4 linked regions of the Caenorhabditis elegans genome follow. The protein of the gene in region 4 interacts with the protein of the main gene of each other region in a pairwise test. Each region holds a gene or a part of one and is shown on either strand. Other genes may lie near its edges. The genes, in order: Y57G11C.22, scrm-7, vbh-1 and brp-1.

Evidence for each region.
Region 1: the proteins of brp-1 (region 4) and Y57G11C.22 interact in a two-hybrid assay, tested with the Caenorhabditis elegans proteins (one large-scale study listed by BioGRID).
Region 2: the proteins of brp-1 (region 4) and scrm-7 interact in a two-hybrid assay, tested with the Caenorhabditis elegans proteins (one large-scale study listed by BioGRID).
Region 3: the proteins of brp-1 (region 4) and vbh-1 interact in a two-hybrid assay, tested with the Caenorhabditis elegans proteins (one large-scale study listed by BioGRID).

What each region holds. Positions count from the first base shown.
Region 1 is NC_003282.8:14,835,666-14,840,217, forward strand, and holds the start of Y57G11C.22 (PRKCA-binding protein), read left to right. Parts: upstream 1-1,545; coding exon 1,546-1,551; intron 1,552-1,652; exon of another isoform or gene 1,653-1,674; intron 1,675-2,147; exon of another isoform or gene 2,148-2,168; intron 2,169-2,170; coding exon 2,171-2,264; intron 2,265-2,332; exon of another isoform or gene 2,333-2,354; intron 2,355-4,552.
Region 2 is NC_003283.11:14,777,657-14,781,449, reverse strand, and holds scrm-7 (Phospholipid scramblase), read left to right. Parts: upstream 1-1,708; 5' UTR 1,709-1,735; coding exon 1,736-1,882; coding exon of another isoform or gene 1,883-1,979; intron 1,980-2,025; coding exon of another isoform or gene 2,026-2,081; exon of another isoform or gene 2,082-2,114; intron 2,115-2,162; coding exon 2,163-2,522; intron 2,523-2,623; coding exon 2,624-2,810; intron 2,811-2,852; coding exon 2,853-3,040; 3' UTR 3,041-3,247; downstream 3,248-3,793. Other genes in the region: Y50E8A.10 (uncharacterized protein), read right to left, coding at 372-442, 489-616, 686-729, 772-1,017, 1,177-1,263, 1,316-1,369.
Region 3 is NC_003279.8:3,157,973-3,164,371, reverse strand, and holds vbh-1 (RNA helicase), read left to right. Parts: upstream 1-1,980; 5' UTR 1,981-2,088; coding exon of another isoform or gene 2,089-2,156; intron 2,157-2,202; coding exon of another isoform or gene 2,203-2,236; coding exon 2,237-2,454; intron 2,455-2,582; coding exon 2,583-2,633; intron 2,634-2,669; coding exon of another isoform or gene 2,670-2,678; coding exon 2,679-2,729; intron 2,730-2,775; coding exon 2,776-3,088; intron 3,089-3,156; coding exon 3,157-4,217; intron 4,218-4,264; coding exon 4,265-4,449; intron 4,450-4,504; coding exon 4,505-4,608; 3' UTR 4,609-5,880; downstream 5,881-6,399. Other genes in the region: Y54E10A.6 (B3/B4 tRNA-binding domain-containing protein), read right to left, coding at 283-415, 552-680; mrpl-17 (Large ribosomal subunit protein bL17m), read right to left, coding at 859-1,134, 1,187-1,288, 1,350-1,556.
Region 4 is NC_003281.10:12,018,979-12,025,832, forward strand, and holds brp-1 (uncharacterized protein), read left to right. Parts: upstream 1-1,573; coding exon 1,574-1,651; intron 1,652-2,338; coding exon 2,339-2,518; intron 2,519-2,575; coding exon 2,576-2,821; intron 2,822-3,165; coding exon 3,166-3,612; intron 3,613-4,550; coding exon 4,551-4,758; intron 4,759-4,811; coding exon 4,812-5,002; intron 5,003-5,889; coding exon 5,890-6,198; 3' UTR 6,199-6,343; downstream 6,344-6,854. Other genes in the region: Y79H2A.12 (Serpentine Receptor, class BC (Class B-like)), read right to left, coding at 6,581-6,690.

The sequences.
Region 1 (4,552 bases), on a different chromosome or scaffold from region 4:
GGCATATGCTTTGTCCAGTATAACTCCTGTGAAACATTTGTGAATTTGTAGAAAAAATAATGTCCCGTTTCAATAAGTTTTCAAAGGTATCTCTTCGAGATGAATTTTATTATTCCGCTAGGAATCAGTGGATATGTAGCCCATAATAATTCTGTCAACTTTAATTCCAATTCAGTTATTGTCAAAATATTAATTGCAGACAATTTTGTTATGCTTTCGGTTTAATACTATTTTGGTTCTTAAATCGAACAACTTTGGTTTTCCAACTTCATATAACAATTTAGAGATTTTTTTTTCTGAAAACTAAGAAAAAGTTACACATTTCCTATTTTCAAGTTATTTTTTCAGTTATTTTCACTAACTAGTTAACTGATCACAAAAAACTTTGTGGAAAATATTCAAAACCTTAGTGACAATAATGTTCTGTTTCACGAAGTCCTTAAAAGTATCTTGTAACGGTGAACTTTAGTTCAAAGTTTCTCTGTTTGCGGCAATATATAAATTTCAAGAAATTTTACTATGTTTCTAGCTCAACACATTTTCAGAGTCTATAAAAAATGAAAACATTTTATTAATTTTTTTCCTGTTTCAGTGAGTTTTTAAAAAAAATTACCTTCTGTAGTTTCTAATCGGTTCCATGCTGCAATTTTAACCTCAACTTTGGAAAACTGGTATTAGTGTAGATTTACAAAGTTCTCGTTTTTTTTAAATTTTGGTTTAAAAAACGGGAGTTTTCCTGGAATTTACAAGGAAAATTGCAGAATCTGAATTCATTGAGATTTTTTTTACACTTACGCCGAAAATGTATAAACTCTGTGAAAAGGTTGCGAATTTTTAGTGAAAATATTGTTCTGTTTCAACAAGTTTTTAAAAGCATCTCGCAAAAAATTAATGTAGTTAATGAGCGTTAAATATGTATATCGTATTCCCTTTATCAATTTGTATTCCTGCGACAAATTTCCGTCAAAGAGAAATTTGTCTAGTTGGTAGTTTGTAGGATATAGTTTGTAACTGAAAATTTTAATTGCAGTTCAGTCTTTTGCCAAATATAAATTTAGTTATGTTTCTGGTTTAATACAATCTCAGAATCTCAGTGAAAAATAGTTCATCAATTTGTTTTTTCTCTGTTTCAGCAAGGAGTTTTAAATCCAGGCATTTCTTCTGTAGTTGATAATTTTTTTGAAGATTTACGAAATTTTCGTTTTCATTAGTGGTCGCTTTTTAGACATGCAGACATTTTGAGGATTCATGCACGGCCTACAATATATTTTCTCAAGCTTCCCAAGGCCTCTCTTGTCGTCTTAAATTCTGCCACTAACCCCATTTTGAATCAAATGCACATTGAGCTCATCTTCCATGCATCTCCTCCCTTCTCCTCTCATTCTCCATTTTCAGTGTGCATGATTGTCTGCGTCTCCCGCTTCTCTACACTCTCTCGTAGTCTCTACATCTCTCCGTCTCTGTGCTCTTTTTGCTCGTGAAGCTTTTAGTACTGCTAGAAGGAGTGAAGGAGTGACAATCGATTTTAAAGCAGAAAAATTAATTATGGATGTAAGTATTTTTTTTCAATTGTTTGTGTAGTTTGAAATTGAGCTAAAAAAACTGGAATGTTTCATGTTTTTATTAAAAAAGAACAATAAAAATCATAACTATTATAGTTACCATCAGAGGTGGGCGGATATTTTTTTCTGATATTTTCTAATAATGAATTTATCAATAAGTATTGATGTAGTTATTCTGGAAGAAATGTATCCGAACAAAAGAGTAACTATTAAGAAACATTTTAATATGATAAAACCTAGAAAAATTCTACAAGTTTTCTGTATAAACGATATGCAAGTCCATTATCCGATATCCGTAATATCCGTAATATCCGATATCCGATGTTGCTCGGCTAATAAGTTTTAAGGTCTCGGTAAGGAAAACTTGTAGAATTTTTCTAGGTTTTATCATATTAAAATGTTGCTTAATAGTTACTCTTTGGTTTGGATACATTTCTTCCAGAATAACTACATCAATACTTATTGATAAATTCATTATTAGAAAATATCCGAAAAAATATCCGCCCACCTCTGGTTACCATAATCGTGAAAAAACTTACTGTTTCACTTTCTAACAAATAATTTGTAGGTTTTCAAATTAATTATTGTTTTTTAACCATATTTTACAGTTCCAAATCGAAGAAGACCGGCTCGGAATGAGAATTCAATCGGAGACAATTGAGTTGACTAAAGATGAAAAAGGTGTCGTCGGAATTTCAATTGGTTTGTTCATTTTTTTCTCTGATGCTTGTATATAAATGGAAACCAACTCAAAATAATTTTTTAATAATAACTCGATAATGTTTAAGTGAATAGTTTGGTTTTTGAAACACTTCATTTAAAAACTACTAGAAACAGAAAAAAATGAAAAAAAAATGTTTTTCAAACAATTTGAAATATTACGCTAGTAGTGGTAGAGTGTACAATTTACCATTCCTTGGTTTTTTTTTACCGTCTGACCAAGAATAGTGTGTGAAACGAGAGATTTAGAGAAAGACGAGAGAGTGAGAGATTTGGTTATAGTAAGAAAGAATCGATTTTTAAATAGTGTGCGTTTTTGAGAGATTTAGAGAAAGAGACTGGTAAGACATTTTTGATGTTCTTGGTTCATTCAACCAGGGGACGGGTTCGAACCCAGGACACTATTCGTCTAAAACAGATGCCATACCAATACACTATAGACGTAGTCGCAAACCCAGTAGCATTTGACTCTTTTCTATTTCGAAACATCTGCCGTTTAGGAGACGTCTTTTTCCCAAACGCGATTTGAATGAATGCAAGCGTTACCGAGATTGATGAAGGAAGGAGGCCCCCCTCCCCGCGCCCCTGGGGGTTTCAAGAGTAAAAGTTGATGAACAAGTTTTTTCAATTTACCTGTGCTTTTGAAAAATGATGCATTCAAAGCTATTTGAAGTTTTTCGATAAAGGGTTCTCCACCCGTTATCGAAAACTTTAAAGAGCATTCCCTACAAAAAACATGTTTTACATTTTTTATTATTTATTCAATTACAGATAAGGATAAGTATTAGTGTTACATGCATTACTAACAATTCAAACATTATTATACAATCAATCAAATTTTATAATTTCCAATATTCTTTCGGCATTTCTTACAAACGTCAATTTTCAAAGTTGACCCATCATATTGTGCACCGTCCTGACAATCTGAACAAAACAGGATAGCGGCAAGTGGTTCCATTTTTCGTAAAGCAAACTGGGGTTCCGTTGTCTTGGCAGCCGTGTGTGTCGTTTTAAAAGTTTTCACATTTTTCTTTCCCTTCTTCTCCGACATAGGAATATCAGAAACATTTGATGGCAAAAACTCTGGTTCCTGAGACGAGTTTTGAAGAGTTTCAAAATTCCAAAAGACGTTCGCAGGTGAAGGATCAGGATAAGAAAAGTTTGAGAATGAGGACATTATCAAAAAAAGTCACTACGTACAACAAAAAATTGAGCACAAATGAAGATTGAATTCAGAAAAGTGGGCGGCTCTTGAAATTGGCATGGACAAATCATAAAGTTAATACTCCTGATGCATCAATCCAAGAGTCAAATTCGGCACCATATCCGTCCCAACGAACGAGGTGCTGTTTCTTTCCGCGTACTGTACGAGTGGCTAAAATCTTTTCAATTCGATACTGAGCGTCTGGTTTATATGTGCATTTAGTCAGTTCTCGAGTGTAGAATATTCCGGCAATTTTTTCTCCATTAGTGTCTACTATATTGTAGGTAACTGGTTTCCTTGCAAACACTTTGGAAATTACATAAACTTCTGTAGTCCATCCTTGTTCGTAGCCCTTGTCAAATTGTCCTCGTTTTGCAGCGATTCTGACGTGATCTCCTACTCTGAATTTGATTTTAACGCTGTCTACAGGCATCGGAGTTGAAAAATCTCCCCGCTCAACGTCTACTGGTTTTTTACCAATTCCACGATTAACGCTATTGTTGATACCATTCACAACTTGTTGTAAAACGTCCACATAACGTCGGTTGTACTTTTGAGTCATGTACTTTGCCAATCGAGTTTTCAGAGTCCTGTTTGCCCTCTCCACAATTGCACACTTTATTTCGCTTTTGGGTGAAAATAGATTCACAAAATTCTTGGCCAACAACTCTTTGACATGCGAGTTGTAAAATTCCTTTCCATCATCACTGTAAATTGTCATTGGTGTGACACCAATTTCTTTAAAAATGTCTTGTAGAGCTAGAGCCACTTCTTGTCCTTTTTTAGACTTTAACGTTTTTACAAAAAGCCGTCGAGAGTAAATATCTATACAGACTAGTAGAAAGGTTACTCCGTCGTTTTCCTTCTTGTACCGGGACATATCTGCGAGATCAATTTGAAGAGATGCATAAAGACCAGGTGAGACTGTTTTCCGACGCGGGAATCGCGATTGATTCGGGCGGTGAAGCGTAAAAGATTCCAAATCTTCGAGAACCTTTTCGACTTGTTCATACTTTAACGACTTGTATTTTGGCTTCAAATATTTGTAAACGTTTTTTACAGATGA
Region 2 (3,793 bases), on a different chromosome or scaffold from region 4:
CTGATTGGAGAGGAGCAAATTAGACTAAATGATTATCCCGGGTGGATAGATTGCTTATATACCAATTCCAGACAAACCACGCCTTCTCTGGAAATGTCATCATATTCCAATTGTCATCCTGCACATCTTCACCTTGTTATTGGAATTACAAATGGCTGGAGATGAATGTTCCAGCTGTAACTCCAATTGCAGATATCCCAGAAAAATCGGGTATCTTGGAAATGTTGAAGATTGGAATCAATTATTGAAAAATCTTTTCAAACTCAGATTTCTAAAAATTGGTCTCAATACTGTAAAAAGTTGTTTTAAAATTAAGTAATTTCAAAACAAAATCTCCAAGAAAAAGCTTTTATTTCACATAGTAGTTCTCTTTAAAACGCTGGCATTGACTGGCAGCCTGGAGCACCGGGAATTCCAACTGGAAGCGATCTTGGGTTGGCTGCTGAAAGAATATTCATTGAGATCTTTTCCTCATTAAAATAACTGACTATCGGGAACCGAATTAGCAGCTGGTGTTCCTGGGTTTGTGTACGACGGGGCTGGAGAATTGGCAGCTAGAGAAGTCGGCTTGACACTGGTGTTAGGGGCATTCGGAACGCTTTTAGCGGTTTTACTCCTGAAAATCAGAAATAGTTAGGAACAAAACTTTGACCGGGATTTGTAACTTGCATCAGGCGAAACTCACAATGCACTTTTAGCTGTAACGGGTGGTCCGTTTGTCTCAGCCGCCTGAAAAAGAACTCTGGTAACCTGAACATCATTTCAACTCACTCCAGATCTTTGCGTTGAGTTCTCGCCCTCATCCCTCCCTCGGGCTTCTGGTTTCTTCCCTTTCTCAGATTTTTTGGATTTCTTCGACTTGCTCGATTTTTTCGAAATTTTCATGGAAGAATCCGCTGACTTCTTCTTTTTGTTCTTCTTGTTTGACTTTTTCGATGAATCTTTGCTCCTTTTCTTCTTCTCTTCTTTGTCCAACGCAGTTCGAGTACTATCCGGTATTGCATCCGAGATCGGCGCCTAAAAATCAGAAATATAGAGATTACAAGATATTACAGATTAATCAGTGTTCGGTTTTCAAAGTGTTCTGGTACTAGAAATTCAACATCCGCCTGCCTGCCCGGCATCATGCCTATTCCGTGCCTACTCATTGATTTTTGCAGCTTCCCCCTCACATACCGCTCTCATGGAATTTGTCATCTCCCGAACATGACAACTGTTCTTCTGACGGGGTGGTTTGCAAAAGCAAATGATGAATATGGTGCTCTGTAATTTATAGTTTGTAGTGTCAGTGCAATTTGTAGTCATTGTAGCTCACCGTTATCATTATGAAAGAGTTGAAGATAAAGAATGTATCCATACAAACCGCCATCACATGATTCGTTTAATAAACGGAATAAATTGAGAAATAATCGAATATGAGTATGTGGATTCGAGTATTGATTGAATCGAAAAGTGAATAGAATATTTGATTTTTTTTCTCTCACGGGAATTAATTTTTTTTCTCATCGTGTTTTATTGAAAGTTTATTCATTGATTTTTGGGTACGTTTATTTGAATACTATTTCAATTTTTAAGCTTTGAAAACAGCAATACTAAGCCTGAAATTCCGAAAAGTTCACGTTTCATTAATGAAAATATCAAAAACTTTTGGGGGGGGGGGGGGGCAGAAATCGGAAAAGTACCGATTTTTGTTCATTACTAGAGTTCATTCGTGACGAAGAAGGTGCATTTACTCATGACAATGGAAACAAAACAGGATGACGTGGAAGCCGATGGTTCTGAAGTTCGAGCACAAGCTGGAAGAGGTGGACACATGCCACAAGTTCGATCGACACCAATCGTTCTTCCAAATCAAGTGGCTTCTATGCCAGTTAGAATGACAGTGAGTTACACAGAGAAACATCATATGTCTTTGCCTTGGGACTTATTTGGTAGGCAAGTGTCTCATGTGTTTGTGCATGCCTGTCGTTTGTCTATCGGTAGGCTGAAGTTAGGTGAAAGTCGCTTATAAAGGCTACCTTCTAGGCGACACCGACTGTGAGTGTGTAAAGTGTGGCAGGGTTCAATTACCGATTTTTTAACAAATTAATTAAATGAGAAAATAAAAAAAAATCGTAAGTTCATCGTTACACCGGAGTTCATGCAAAAATGCTGTATTTCAGGGTTTCAACAACCTTCCGGCTCACAATGTTCTGGATATGATTTCTCGGACCAACTCTATGATGGTTGTTCAAGCACTAGAACCTCTGGAAATTGCAACAGGAATCGAGACGCCAAATCAATATGTTGTTCATGATATGTACTGTCGTCCGATTATGAATTGTATGGAAAGATCCAATGGATTTGCTCGTCAAATGCAAGGATCTCATCGAAGCTTTGCAATGATGTGTACAGATTTATTTGGTGCACATGTTATGCAATGTCACAGAGATCAGCCTTGGGGATCATTCACGGATCACTTGACTACACAGTTTCTGGGACAGAATATTGGAATTATGTCGAGAACTCATGGGGATGTCAATGTGAGTTTATGAGAAATCAAGTCTTTTGGCAAAACTTGGTTACCTTCTGGGAAACATTTTCACTTTCTTGGCTGAAACATTCGTGAATATATTTTTTTCAGTTCCATCTTCTCGGCGCGGGAAGCAATCAATCTCTTCTGATCCGTTCTCCGTTGTTTGCTGCAAGTGGTGGAACCAGAAGCTTCCCAGTTATGACCTACAATGGAATGAGAGTTGGTGAAATTGTTCGCCTTTATCCTGGATATATGCAAGAAATGTACTCTGATGCAGATACTTATATTGTGCATTGTAAGTAGCTTCTTTAAACTAATTTAATTCTCAATTTTACAGTCCCAATGGATCTTCCACCAATCTTGAAGCTTTTGCTCATCTCGTCTGTATTCCTTATCGATTTCACATTCTTTGAAAATAATGGACAACAAAATAACATGTATCGTGGATATGGAGGATCACATTATGTTAGACAACGTTCTTACCATAGTGGATTCTCTTCTGGATATTTCCCTGGATTCTATTGATTTTTTGGGTATTAGTGTGATGTCAAATGGATTCTTTCAAATTCTGCATTTTATTTATTAAAAAAGCCTTCGTTTCAAATATTCTTTACCTTTCAAAGTCTCGTTCAGAAATTGATTTAAAAGTTTCCACAGATTTCATTTTCAAAGATGCTATATCTTTGATTGAGCTGTTTGTAAACCGTATTCAACTTTCCTATAAAACGTTTCACCATGATTTTCGTCCATCGCCTTTATTATAACGGTGACTAAATATTCATTATTTGTGTTGAATGTAAAATGGTGAGTCTTCAAGGATTACTGTAATTTCTAACGTTTTGCTGTTGCGTCGATTTTTTCAAATAGCTTGTCAAGTTTCGAAAGAATCATGGAAAGTGAAAAATCAATTTGAAAAGTTAGTAAATTACAGTAATCCTCAAAGGCTCCCACCATTTTGGATTTAACACAAATGTTCGTTGCGATGCATCGTATTGTACCTTTTGAGCAACATTTCCCTTCTGGTTAATATTGCGAAATCCTCATAAAATCAAGAAAAATCTAAAAAAAGCGAAAAACTCTGCTTACAATTCAGATCGCGGCGAGTCCCGTTCAATATCATTCGTGCGCCTTCGAGCACGAGTTCCAGGAGAATTCCAAACTTCGAAGAGACATAATTTTTGTATTTTGAAGACTGCATATTTTAAAATGTTAATACCTGACTATGACTAATTTCACCTTTTAATTCTAGAATGATTTACTTTTCAAAAACAATGCAAT
Region 3 (6,399 bases), on a different chromosome or scaffold from region 4:
TTTGCATGAATTCAAAGTTTAATTTTTTCCGGCAAATCGGCATACTTGAAAAAATAGAAAATTTCCGGCAAATCGGCAATTCGCAAGAATTTAAAATTTTATTTTTTTCCGGCAAACCGGCAATTTGCCGGAATTAAACATTTAATTTCGAAATCATGTCATTCAAAATAATTCAAATTTTTTGTTGCGAAATTGAAAAGATATGCTATTTAACAGTTATATTTGGTATATTTCGACTAATTTCCGTCTAAAAAAACAAAAAAAAATCCACAAAATACACACCAAAAACGTCTGGAAGCTGTTTTAAATCATTTTTCGGCAAAACCAAATGCATTAGATTACTGCAAGATCTAATCGAAGACGAAAGATTGTGAAGAGAGCATCCAGTGAGAGAAAGGAGATTCAATTGGGACATCTGAAAATAAATTTTGGGTTTTGATGGGAATTTAGTATTATAAAATTTACAAAAAAAAAATTTGTTTGAAATTCCGAGAAAAAAATCGTTTTTTTGCGGAAATTCACGGATTTTCCAAAAATTAAAATTCCCTTACACTCTCGAAAACCCGTTTCTGGGAAAGATTGGCCGCTTCGGTGACCGAATCGATTCGAACATTTTTGATGACAATTTCGAAGCGATTATTCTCGATCGCCTCTATTACCTCCGGTTGCTCTTCGAACATTATTCTGAATTTTAATTTTTTCGGTGAAAAAGTGGGAAAAAAATTAGATAAAGATATAAATAATTGAATCGAACCACAAAATTCGTTATAAATATTGAAAATGATTCAAAGTTTAATATATAAAGAAACAAAAATTCTAGGATTCTAGCGAAACAAAAACAAAAAAAATAATAAAAATTCATTGAGATTTCTTCGGAGTATCCAGCTTTTCCTGAAGATTCTTCTGGTGATTCCGAAGGGCGTCAGCTAGAAGAACATCAAGAATTGATTCAGATTGATCTACGCGGTCTGCTTGTATTTGTGGAAATGGATTTCCGTCGATTTCCAGAACTCCGATATCGTATCGCTTCCAGACTTCTCGCTTATTCTGGATAAATTGTTGAAGACGTTGTGGTGGAAGTCGGAATAGTGATGTGAATGGAGAATCGCGGTCTTGGAATCGTGGAACAATTACCTGGGAAAAAAATGATTTTTTTTTGGCGAAAAATCTTTTTAAATCAATTTACTTCATGCATTTTCGTAATTAAATCCTTCTCAGGCAGCCACCATTCCATCATTTCGGCTGTATACTCGTCAAGTGGTCCTCTTTCGACACCCAATTGAATTAGCTGAATTTTATTTTTTTAAATTTTAATTTTCTCACTCATTTTCAAACAAAAAACCCCTCACCCTCTCCAAATATGGCCTGGCCTCGACGGCGCGGTTCCATTTCAGCTCGGCGCGTTCCTCACGGACAGTTCGGGTGACGATGCGACGGAGCACTTCGAGACGAGCACGACGGCTTGGCTCAATTCCTCCGGTTTTCAGCTTTTGTGGTGCGTGACCAATTGTGACGCCGATTCTTGGCAGTGACACTGCCACTCGGTGAGCTGACATTGCCTGGAAATCTTTTTTTTATTAATTTTGAGTCGGAAATTCAAAAAATTGAATAAAATCCCATATATTTCAATAGAAATTCTAATAAAAATTAAATTTAATTCTATTTCGCGAAATTTCGGAGCGTTTTTTGCGTTGAAACACGCTTCCTCACACACGCACTTTAAAGGCGCACCGATTTACACGGTCGGCGGGTCTCGATGGGAAAACAAACGTCTCTTCATCATTGCGTGCTGAATTCACTTCTCTCATTTCCGCTTCTTCTCTACGGTTTTTCGTGTCGATTTTCTCCATTGTCATCGTTTTTCGCATAATTTTCGAGTTAAATTATGCGAAAAATGATAATTCGTCGTTTATTAATGATAAATACTCATTTTCTCCGTCTTAAAACTTCATTTGTTTCGCAACAAGCCAATAAAATGAATTTCAGATACATATTCTGTAATCTCGACGTCAATTGGGTACAAAATCGGTTTAGATTCGCCGATTTTTCTTTTTCGAATTCCGGGTTTCCGTTTGATATAGTCTTACAATGAACACACAATATTATGCGAATCACAACGGTCAACAACAGCCGCCACAACAACAACAGGGACAAGGGTATGATTTCGAAACGGATTTCAAGATTTCAACCTCATTTTTTCAGCTGGTCATCCTCGTATTCTCAACAGAGCAATAATATGCCTGCAGGAGGCGTATTTTACAACGGATTCGCCAACGGAACTCCGTCAAACAACGGGTATGCAATTCAACAACCTATGGTCCCAGGGATGGGGCAGATGATGGGTGCTCCTCATGCTGGATTTGTTCCTTCTCCTTACTTTCAAGGGCAGCCACAACAGCAGCAGCATTTCAAAATGGGCTACTCAGAAAACTTTGAAAACTTCGATGAGAATGGGTGAGAACAGGTGTATAGTGTGCTGGTGATTGTGTTTGCCTCTAACCATATGCTTGTTCTTCATTTCCTTTGTTGCTTTTTGTTAACCTGAAATGAGGCTTCTCTTTTATCAAATCTTGAAATTGCAGATCGTCTGGGTACAACAACTTCGCCGACAGCGGAAACGGTTTCAACAACAAGTATGTTTAAATCTGAATTACAATTTTTATTAGTAGACGTTACAGTGGAGCCGAGAGTAATCAATGGGGAGGAGCACCTGCCGAATATTCCGAAAGGTGAGATTAAAATGTTCTGATTATTAAACGCGATATGGTATTTCAGCAATTTGTTCCACCGTACCGACAGTGGCATCAACTTTGACAAGTACGAAAATATTCCCGTAGAAGTCAGCGGAGACTCCGTTCCAGCAGCCATCGAGCATTTCAATGAAGCTGGTTTTGGGCCGGCTGTGATGGAGAACGTGAATCGCAGCGGATACTCCAAGCCGACTCCTGTCCAGAAACACTCGATCCCAACTCTTTTGGCTAACCGCGATCTGATGTCTTGCGCTCAAACCGGATCTGGAAAAACTGCCGCTTTCCTGCTCCCAATTATTCAGCATATTTTGGCTGGTGGTCCAGATATGGTCAAGCCGGTAAGTAGGGCAAACCTGCGATCCATCAAAATTCGAAAAATTTATACAAAAAACTATTTTAATTGCAGCCAGCGTTCACAAACGGTCGTCGCACTTACTATCCATGTGCTCTGGTTCTCTCGCCGACTCGTGAACTTGCCATTCAAATCCACAAGGAAGCTACAAAGTTCAGCTACAAAAGCAACATCCAGACGGCTATTCTTTACGGAGGACGTGAAAACTATCGTGATCAAGTGAATCGTCTTCGCGCTGGAACGCATATCCTCATTGCTACCCCAGGTCGTTTGATTGACATTATTGAGCAAGGATTCATTGGACTCGCCGGATGTCGTTACCTGGTTCTCGACGAAGCTGATCGTATGCTTGACATGGGATTTGAGCCGCAAATCAGAAAGATCGTTGGCCAAGGAATGCCACCAAAGACTGCTCGTACCACAGCTATGTTCAGTGCAACCTTCCCGAAGGAGATTCAAGTTCTCGCTAAGGACTTCCTCAAGGATAACTATATCTTTTTGGCAGTTGGTCGTGTTGGATCAACGTCTGAAAATATTGAACAACGTCTGCTTTGGGTCAACGAGATGGAAAAGAGAAGCAATCTGATGGAAATTCTGATGAACGAGCATTCTGAAAATCTGGTTCTCGTATTCGTTGAGACAAAGAGAGGAGCCAACGAGTTGGCGTATTTCCTCAATCGTCAGCAGATCCGCTCTGTTTCAATTCACGGAGATCTCAAACAAATTGAACGTGAGAGAAATCTCGAGTTGTTCCGCTCTGGACAGTGCCCAATTCTTGTCGCAACTGCTGTTGCCGCTCGTGGATTGGATATTCCAAATGTGCGCCACGTCATCAATTATGATCTTCCTGGAGATTCTGACGAATATGTTCACCGTATCGGTAGAACCGGAAGATGCGGAAACCTTGGAATTGCCACCAGTTTCTTCAATGACAAGAATCGAGGAATCGGTCGTGATTTGAAGAATCTGATTGTCGAATCCAACCAAGAAGTCCCAGAATGGCTTCATCAAGTTGCTGCAGAAGGACGCATTGGAGGTGGACAACGTGGTGGAAACCGTCGCTTCGGAGCAACCGACTATCGTGTTGGTCGTGGTGGTGGTGGATCGTTCGGAGGGTAAGATCAAATGAGCAGTTGAAAATTAATATTGCTAATAGTTTCAGAAACTTCTCAAATTACAATTCCGGTGGAGCCACTGGTGGTTTCGGAAGTGGACCCGCCTACGGTGGTTCGTTCGGAGGAGGAGCACCACGTCGCCCGTTCACGAATGGAGGATTCGGAGCTCATAGCTCTCTGTCGTCTACCTCTAATAGTGGTGGCGGTGGCGGCTTCAGTGGCCCAAGAAGAGGTTTGTGGAGAAAATAAAGAAAATAATGCAAAATTAATCAATTCCTTGATTTCAGGTGGCTTCAACAGTGGAATGAACCGTCAGGGTGGTGGCGGTGGAGGTTTTTACTCAAACCCAGGCCAGGCTCCAATTGATCATTGGCAAGCTCCACAAGCTTAAACATTATTCGCAACAAACGGAAATCCGGAATTCCACATTAAAGTCTCGCACCATACTCCTTTTTTTATAATTTAGTTGTCTTCCTTTTTTCCTTTACTCGTTCCATCCATATTAAAATAATCATTTTTTCCTCCTTCTCTTTTTTATTCTGTCTCCTTCTTTAAAGCGTGGCTTATTCCTCTCTTTTATTTCATATTATTCTCTCTGTAATTGTGTTTTAATCATTCAATTTTTTTTATCTCAGAGCTTTAAGTGACGAATATTTTAATGGATTCTATGCGTGATCTAGGGTTTTAACATTGAATTTTATTGTATCCTCCCATTTCCCCCAAAAATGTTGTTGTTGCCTGGCAATTTGTACCATTGTTTTGTTTCTCTTGGTGTTGTTTTCTTGCATCAACAATACCCCGAGAGAATCAATGCAGTTTTATCTCGTAGTTTTGTAGTTTTTCTTATGGCCGCTGGATGGCATCCGATGCACTACCGCGTCGGGGACTCAGCACGGTTTTTCTCTATTATCGGTTGTTTGTAAGCTTTGTTGAAACCCGTTTACATAGTGCTGCCCGTTGTTGATTCGTGATATTGTGTGTATTTTTAATTAATTTTTACTTGTTCCCCAATCTGATCCCAACCATTCGTCTTGCAATTATTCAATTCTTAACTTGGTATAGCTGCGGGTGTCTAATTATATTTTCATAATTGTTCGCCAGTATGATCGTCAGTTTATCATTAAATAATTGCGAGTTAGGTATAAAAAGCTTGGTTGCTCTCTTATGATAATGATCTCCCCCCACCTATCCCCAAATCTCTATCATTTTTCCCTCCAACTGATGTTTTTTTTGAGCCAAGTAATATTCATTGTTAGTTGTTTTTTCTCCCTCTAAACAGTATACACGAAAATCATAGAACCAACCATTTCATAATACTCAAGTTGCACTATCATATGCGTCTCGTCAATAGCTAATTCCAAACATTTTCTAGGCCGGTCTAAGCCGTTGAACGTGCAGTCCGTTTCCACGCTTTCTCTTCAATTTCTATTTGCCAATTTCTCCCCAACCAACTGCATTCTTGTCCAATATGCACAATTTTTCTTTTTTATTTTCATCGTCCCTCTCCCATCATTTTTCTCTTTCCCTCGTCACGCACTTATCTCTGTCACTATGAGATTCTTATCTTCTTTTTCCATCTTGAATGTTCACTTTCAGCTCTTTGAGAATAATCTTAAAAGCCCTTGTGGCCTGACAAATAGTTGAATAAACTTGGTATCTGGTACTTGAAAACATTTATACGCGGGCATGCTGATGCTCTCGTTGCATATAAGAAATGACCGCAAGAAAATTATCTATCTTCACAACATGTCAAATGCTACGTGGTCGTTAATAGTCTAGTCCTAGGCCAAAAAATTAATGTATTAAATATTGCCTCATGTCAGTCAAATTTTCATTTCTATTTGAAAATTTGTAATTATGATTCCAGCAACTTGTAGGCTAAATTCCCGGGAGTTTATGTACCTTCGTTTCCGATGTCATTCAACTTCGAAAAAAAAAACAATCAGCAGTCTTCACCCTCTCCATTGTTGTCGAAATCCTGAATTAAAAACAATTATCATCAATGAAAATTGATAATTCTTGCCTTTCAAATAGAAAAATGCCGGTCTTCTCCTTAAAAATCTGCAAAAGAGGGGGGAAAAATGAGTAAATATGCTTTTGTGGGAGACTCATCATCAAATGAAACCAATATTGCTCGTTTTTTCAATTAAAATTATATATTTAATGATAAAATAATAAAATA
Region 4 (6,854 bases):
GCGTAGGTGGGGGGGGGGGGAGGGGAATACTGTAATTCTGATCGGAGAATATTTAAAATTGTGGCAACCACATTAAAAACCGATAATAACTTATAATAGGACAAAAATAATTTGGAATATACCGTATTTCCTCTTTTAGTTTTGCACCCCTTTGCTCAACTTTGACAGCTCATATCTCATTTTGTTTTGAACATATAAATAATTAACAAACTACAAACTATAGAAAAACATCTCACAAAAATTTTATCAGTTGACAACTTTTCTATGGAACAAAGAACTACTGAGATATGAGCTGTCAAAGTTGAGCAAGCGGGTGCAAAACTAATAGAGGAAATACGGTATGTATCGTAAACTTCTGTATATACATACTTCCCTGTTAGTGTTGCATGTATCAGGGTTGGGCGGTAAATAATTTTTCCGCCAAATTGGCGAATTGCCGGAATTGAAATTTTCAGCAAGTCGGTAAACCGGCAAATTGCCGATTTGCCGCATTTTCCAGAAAAACGGCAATTGTCGGACAGATTGTGGTTTTGCATTTTTTTTTTGTTCGAAATTTCGTGTTTCACTATCAGTCTCATAAAAAAGCCCTCTAAAAACTTCCGGCAAATCGGAAATTTGCCGAAAATCGAAAATTCCGGAATATCAGCAAACCGGCAGTTTGCCGCCCACCAATACTAGTTCTAAATGAATATTTTTTAGAGCAAACGGGCTTTTTCTCACCAATTTTTTCGTTTTAAGACAGTTCTCGATATGAGTTTAACTAACTAAAAATCACAAAATTTACAAAAAAAATTATTATAACTCACATTTTTTAAAAATCATGCAGAGCGCTAAAAATACCAAAAATCATACTAAAACATTTCAAAAAAATGTAGACATTTTTTCGAAGAATCTGCAGCATGTATGAATATTTCAAAAATAATTAAAGCATAAAACTGGAATCAGAACTTTTTTTTTAACTCAAAATGAAAAATGTTCCGAAATTATATTAATAGCTTTACTATGATATTTGTTCATTTTAGGCCGTACTCCACCTTGTATGCAGGCACATTAATATTTATAATAAGAGAAAAATAAACCCTCCGCATTTGAATTAACACATCCTACCTATTTTTACCTGAACCATCAAACTTTGTATATTATACTCTGCCCTTAAACCCTTGCTGCAAAAAATGGAAAAGAAATCAAAAATCAAAGTATCCTTTATCATTTTAAAATTTTTCACAGAAATCTTTATCATCATCTGATCGAGATTTTCTGGTCAAAAACAAAAACGAATGACGTCATTCCTCTCTCAAGTGTACAGTAACCAAGTGGCCGGCTATTTTAAAAACTCGTTTTGTGTGTTTCTTCAAAACTTGGTGTCACTTCCTATCAAAACATCGGGAGATCATTTTTTGTTCATTTTCCTACACCGCGCGGAAGAGTCGTGAATGCCAACCTGTCAAAAATGTTTAATGCTCCGCGAGAGAAAGTGAGCCGCTTCTCTAATTCTCCTATTGTGCGCATTGATCTCTTCTCTTTTTTTTGTTTTTGTCTTTTACTCGAATATCTAATCAAGAATCATTTACAGATGACCAAACTAGGCGCACAGCCCGGCGTTCACGGGAGTGAGGACGTTGAGAAGGAGTCTATCAAGATCGATCCAAAAGTGAGTTTCTATTAAAAATATTCAAATTTTCTGAGAACTGTTTTTAGTGCGAAGTTCAAATTTTCTCATAAAAAAATTTCAGCTGGAAATTCGAATTTTTTTTAAGAGATCACGTTTTGGCGCGAATTACAAATTTTATGAGTAACAAGTCGTAGTGTCAGAGTGTCCCATTTCGGCTTGATCTACATAGATCTACAAAAAATGCGGGATTTCAGACGCAGGCTTCTCAGCTGATTTCGCATGGTTAAGAACATGGCTGACGTCATGTTTTTTGGGCAAAAAAGTTCCTGCATTTTTTGTAGATCAAACCGTGATGGGGCAGCCCGGCACCACGTGTAAAAACAGTTTGCCTCGAAATTCAAAATTTTTCACAAAAAAATTTTAGCTGGAAAATCAAATTTTCTGAGAAAACGTATATTGGCGCGAAGTTCAAATTTTATTAGAAATTTTTTTGGCGCTAATTTAAAGTTTTATGAGAAAATACATTTGACTCGAAATTCAAACTTTATGAGAAAACGTATTTTGCCGCGAAATTTAAATTATCCGAGAATAATTTTTGGCGCGAAATTCAAATTTTCTGAGAACATTTTTTGGCGCGAAATTCAAATTTTCTCACAAAGAATATATTCGGTAACAATAATAATAATAACGTTAGTAGAAATATCAACAAAATCTGAATTATTCCAGGTGTTCACAGTCCTCCAGCCCACAGTGATCCCAATGCCGGCTCCACCAATGAAGCCTGCTCCATCGCCAGCTTTCCAGGCGATGAGAGCATGCTTCCATTGCATGTTCTTTGCCACGTGTCTTTTGCTGGTGACACTCATCGGTTTCTACTTCCTCGCCGCTACTCCTGATCTCTTCAAGGTACAGGGTTTTTTTTTAATTTTAAGCTTTTTTAAACTTAATTAATTGATATTCCAGAAAACCGAAACATCCGTGAACAAGCCACAAATGGAGGCACTTCTAGCTCAACCAATTGATGGATCATCTGAAAAGACTATAAACTCTGCGGAAAATCCAGGAATGATGGCAATTCCCTTGGCTCGGGTAGTTGTAGTGGAGGATATTTCGAATAATGAAGGTCAAAAGAAGACAACTGTTGATGGATCAGTTGAGGAGAAGTCCTCTACCAATTTGGATCGCCCACTTCATCCAGATGAGATTGAGGTTAGTTACCAAATTATACCATATATATACATAAATATGGATTTGTATATATATATATATATAAATATATATATATATATATATATATATATATATATATATATATATATATATATATATATATATATGCATATGTAGGGCTTCCATAGACAGGCGCGGTTCCAGGGCCTGCCTGAAGGGAATGCCTACCCGCCTCAAGCCAGCTAAACTGCTTTAAAAATTTTAGGCCATTTTTTGAGCTGCCATAACTTTTTTTTCAAGAGGTTTTTAAGAAGTTTCATTAAGAAATTCGATATTTTCAGACAATTTTGAGTCTAATAAATCAATAAAAGCAATTTTTTCAGCAATACCGAATGATGGAGGCCCGCCAACAATTCCAACAAATAATGGAGGAACGTATGTACATGCAACAAATGATGGCAATGCGAATGATGAGAATGAGAAGACTTCAAGCCGCCTACTACCAACAACAACAAATGAAGATGGCCTACATGCAACAACAACAGCAACAGATGCAGGAAGAGGCCGCCCGTCAGCAATGGGCCGAGAGATCCCGCTATGAAGAGGAACAACGTCGTCAGTACGAGGCTCAACAGACCTATGCTCAACAGCAGCGTGCTCAAGCTTTCTGGCAACAACATCAGTTGGAGATGCAGGCTCAGACTCAGCAGGCTCAGGCCCAGGCCCAATGGCAACAGCAGGAGCAACAGCCACAGGAGCAGCAGAGACAGAGATTCTGGCCAAGACCAATGATGCATCAGCAACAATGGGAGAGACCAACTGTCTGGCAGGTAAGGCGATTTGTAGATTTTTAGATGATGGGCTACGAATTTTTTGGCATTTGGATTTTAGACACATTTTCCATTTTGAAAAATTTGAATTTTTGCTTTTTTTTTTCATAATTTTTTTCAAAAAACTTCGAAAATTTTTCGTCGTATTTGGATCAGGGGTGGGCGGCAATTGCAGTTCGGCAAATTTTTTTTGAGTAAATTGGCAACTGAAAATCGGCAATTTGCCGGTTAGCCGATTTGCCGGAAACTTTTGATTCCGGCAACTTGTCGGTTTTCCGGGAATTTCCAATTCCGGTAATTTGCCGATTCGCCTGAAATTTTCAATTCCGACAGTTTTCCGATTTGCCTGAAATTATCAATTCCGGCATTTTGCAGATTTGCCGGAAATTGTAAATTTTGGCAATTTGCCGATTTGCCGGAAATGTTCAATTCCGGCAATTTTTAGATTTGCCTGAAATTATGAATTCCGGCAGTTCGCCGGTTTGCCGGAAATTTTCCATTCCGGCAGTTTGTCGATTTGCCGGAAATTTTCAATTCCGGAAATTTGTCAATTTGCATGAAATTTTTAATTCCGGCAATTTGCCTGAAATTATCAATTCCGGCAGTTTGTCGATTTGCCGGAAATTTTTAATATCGGCAATTTGCTGATGTGCCGGAAGTTATCAATTCCTGCAATTTGCCGATTTGCCTGAAATTTTCAATTCCGGCAGTTTGTCGACTTGCCGGAAATTTCAGTTCCGGCACTTCGCCGGTGTGCCGGAAAATCTTAATTCCGGCAACTTGCCGATAAGCCAGAGATTGTGAATTCCGGCAATTCGCCGGCTTGCCGAAAAAAATCGTTTGCCGCCCACCTCTGTTTTTTGCTTAGTTTTCGGGATCTGAAACCGATAAAAATTTTCACTATTTTTTTTGTCAAAAAACCATCAAAAAAATTCCAGCAACCACCCCAACAATTCTTCTTCCCATCCCAACAACAACAGCAGCATCAGCAGCAACCACAACAGACCCAACAACCTGAGGACCGTTTCCCACAGGCTCCACAATTCTTCCAACCAATCCCACAACCATCAGTTCACGATAAGATCTACGAGGAACTTCAGAAGAAGTCGCAGAACATTCCAGTCAACGCACCAACTCGTCAAATCTGTTAGTTGTTTTTTTTGCAAAAAGCCCAAAAATTTCAATTAATCTTGTATCAGGGACAGCAATCACTCCAACTCCAGCTCCAGAAGCTGCATCTGGAACTGCTGACGTCACAGCTTCACCCATCAACACTGCATTCCCAGCAGTTGTCACGAGCAGCACACCAATGCCAGAGGATGCCGCTGAGGTTTCTGATACTATTCTCAGAGATATCTTCTCAGCTTTCGATGAGCAAAAGAATTCAGAGGTTTGTACATCAGGAACATGTTGGTTCGGCAAATCGGCAAATCGGCGAATCGCCGGTTTACCAATTTGCTGCCGATTTGCCGGAAATTTTGCCGATTTGCCGGAAATTTTCATTTTCGGCACTTTGCCAGTTTGCCGATTTGCAGGAAATTTTCTATTTCGGCAACTTGCCGGTTTGCCAATTTGCCGAAAATTTTCAATTCCGGCAATTTGCCAATTTGCCGGAAGTTTGAGTTCCGGCAATCTGTCGATTTTCCGATTGACCGGAAATTACAATACCGGCAGTTTGCCAATTTTCCGGAAATTTTCATTTTCGGCACTTTGCCAGTTTGCCGATTTGCAGGAAATTTTCTATTTCGGCAATTTGTCAAAAATTTAAGTTCAGGCAATTTGCGGATCTGGTTCCAGCAGTTTGCCGATTTGCCAAAAGTTTTAATTCGGGCAATTCACCTATTTGCCGAAAATTTCAATTCCGGCTCTCTGCCGGTTTGCCGAGTTGCCGGATATCAATTTGCCGGAAGTGTTTAGAAAGATTGTTTATTTATATATAGTCGGCACGGTACAATTTTGCCGACTAATATTGTAATTCTGAAGTTCTGAAATTGCCAAAAAAAAGTGCAAAACCACAATTTGCCGGAATTAAAATTTCTGGCAAATCGGCAAACCGGCAAAAATTTGAATTTCAAAAAGGCAAGTGTTTCCGTCTTATAAAAAATTTCTCTAAAAATTTCCGGCAAATTGATGTTCGGTAAACGGCAAATCAGCAATTTTCCGAAAATCAAAATTTCCGGCAAATTGACAAACCGGCAATTTGCCAAATTTGCCGAACGGCAATTTCCGGCCCACCCCTGTTTTGTGCTCACTGAGGCATAATGAGTAATATTCCAGGCGGCCAACAAAGAGCTCAACTCAGCCACCCCATCAACCACCGAAGAGCCAGAACTCGAAGGAAAGGGAGCAATTGTGATTGAGGACAGCTTCCCAAGAATCGAAGAACGCACCACAACACCTGAACCAATGGAATCTGAAGAAGATGCTGAACATACATCATCTGAAGATAATCATGAGAAGGAGTTGGATCCATTCGCAGCTGTTCTCAAATTCTTCGAGAACAATCCACCACGTGAGGCTCTCGAGGCAGCAGGGGCTGAGACAGCAGCAACCACTCAGAAACCATTGAAACCACTGATTGTTTGAGAATTTTAATTTTGAGCTGAGCTAAAAAAAAATAATTTTCGAATGTAATAATTGTTATACAATTCGTCCTCCCCCGATTATTTTCCATCATCATCATCATCCCATCTTTTACGCGTGCAGGTTTGTAAATAAAATTATTCGCTGTTGAATTTGTATTTGCAAATCAAGAAAAAAAAAGTATTTATTTCAGAACGTGTGGTGTCAGAGTGTCCCATGTTGGTTTGATCTACGTAGATCTACAAAAAATGCGGCAGAGTTCTCAACTGATTTCGCATGGTTAAGAACGTGCTGACGTCACACTTTTTTTGGCAAAAAATTGCCGCATTTTTTGTAGATCAAACCGTGGTGGGACAGCCTGGCACCACGTGTTTCCAAGGAACTTTCAAAACTTCATCACATTTGTTAAATCCGACTGTCTAACCAGCATCCCATTCTCGATTCGTTTTGCATAGACGTAACATCGATTGATTAGAATGAATTTGATTATTGATACTGAAAAATTTTTAAACAATTTTTCGCTTTAAATTACAGAATATACGCCTAGAATATATGACCAAATATGACTGTGAAAATTTTTTCAAAAATGTCCTAAACTTTTAGTGAATTTTTACATATTTCAAAATTCATAGAAACGACCGAATTAAATTTGAAACATT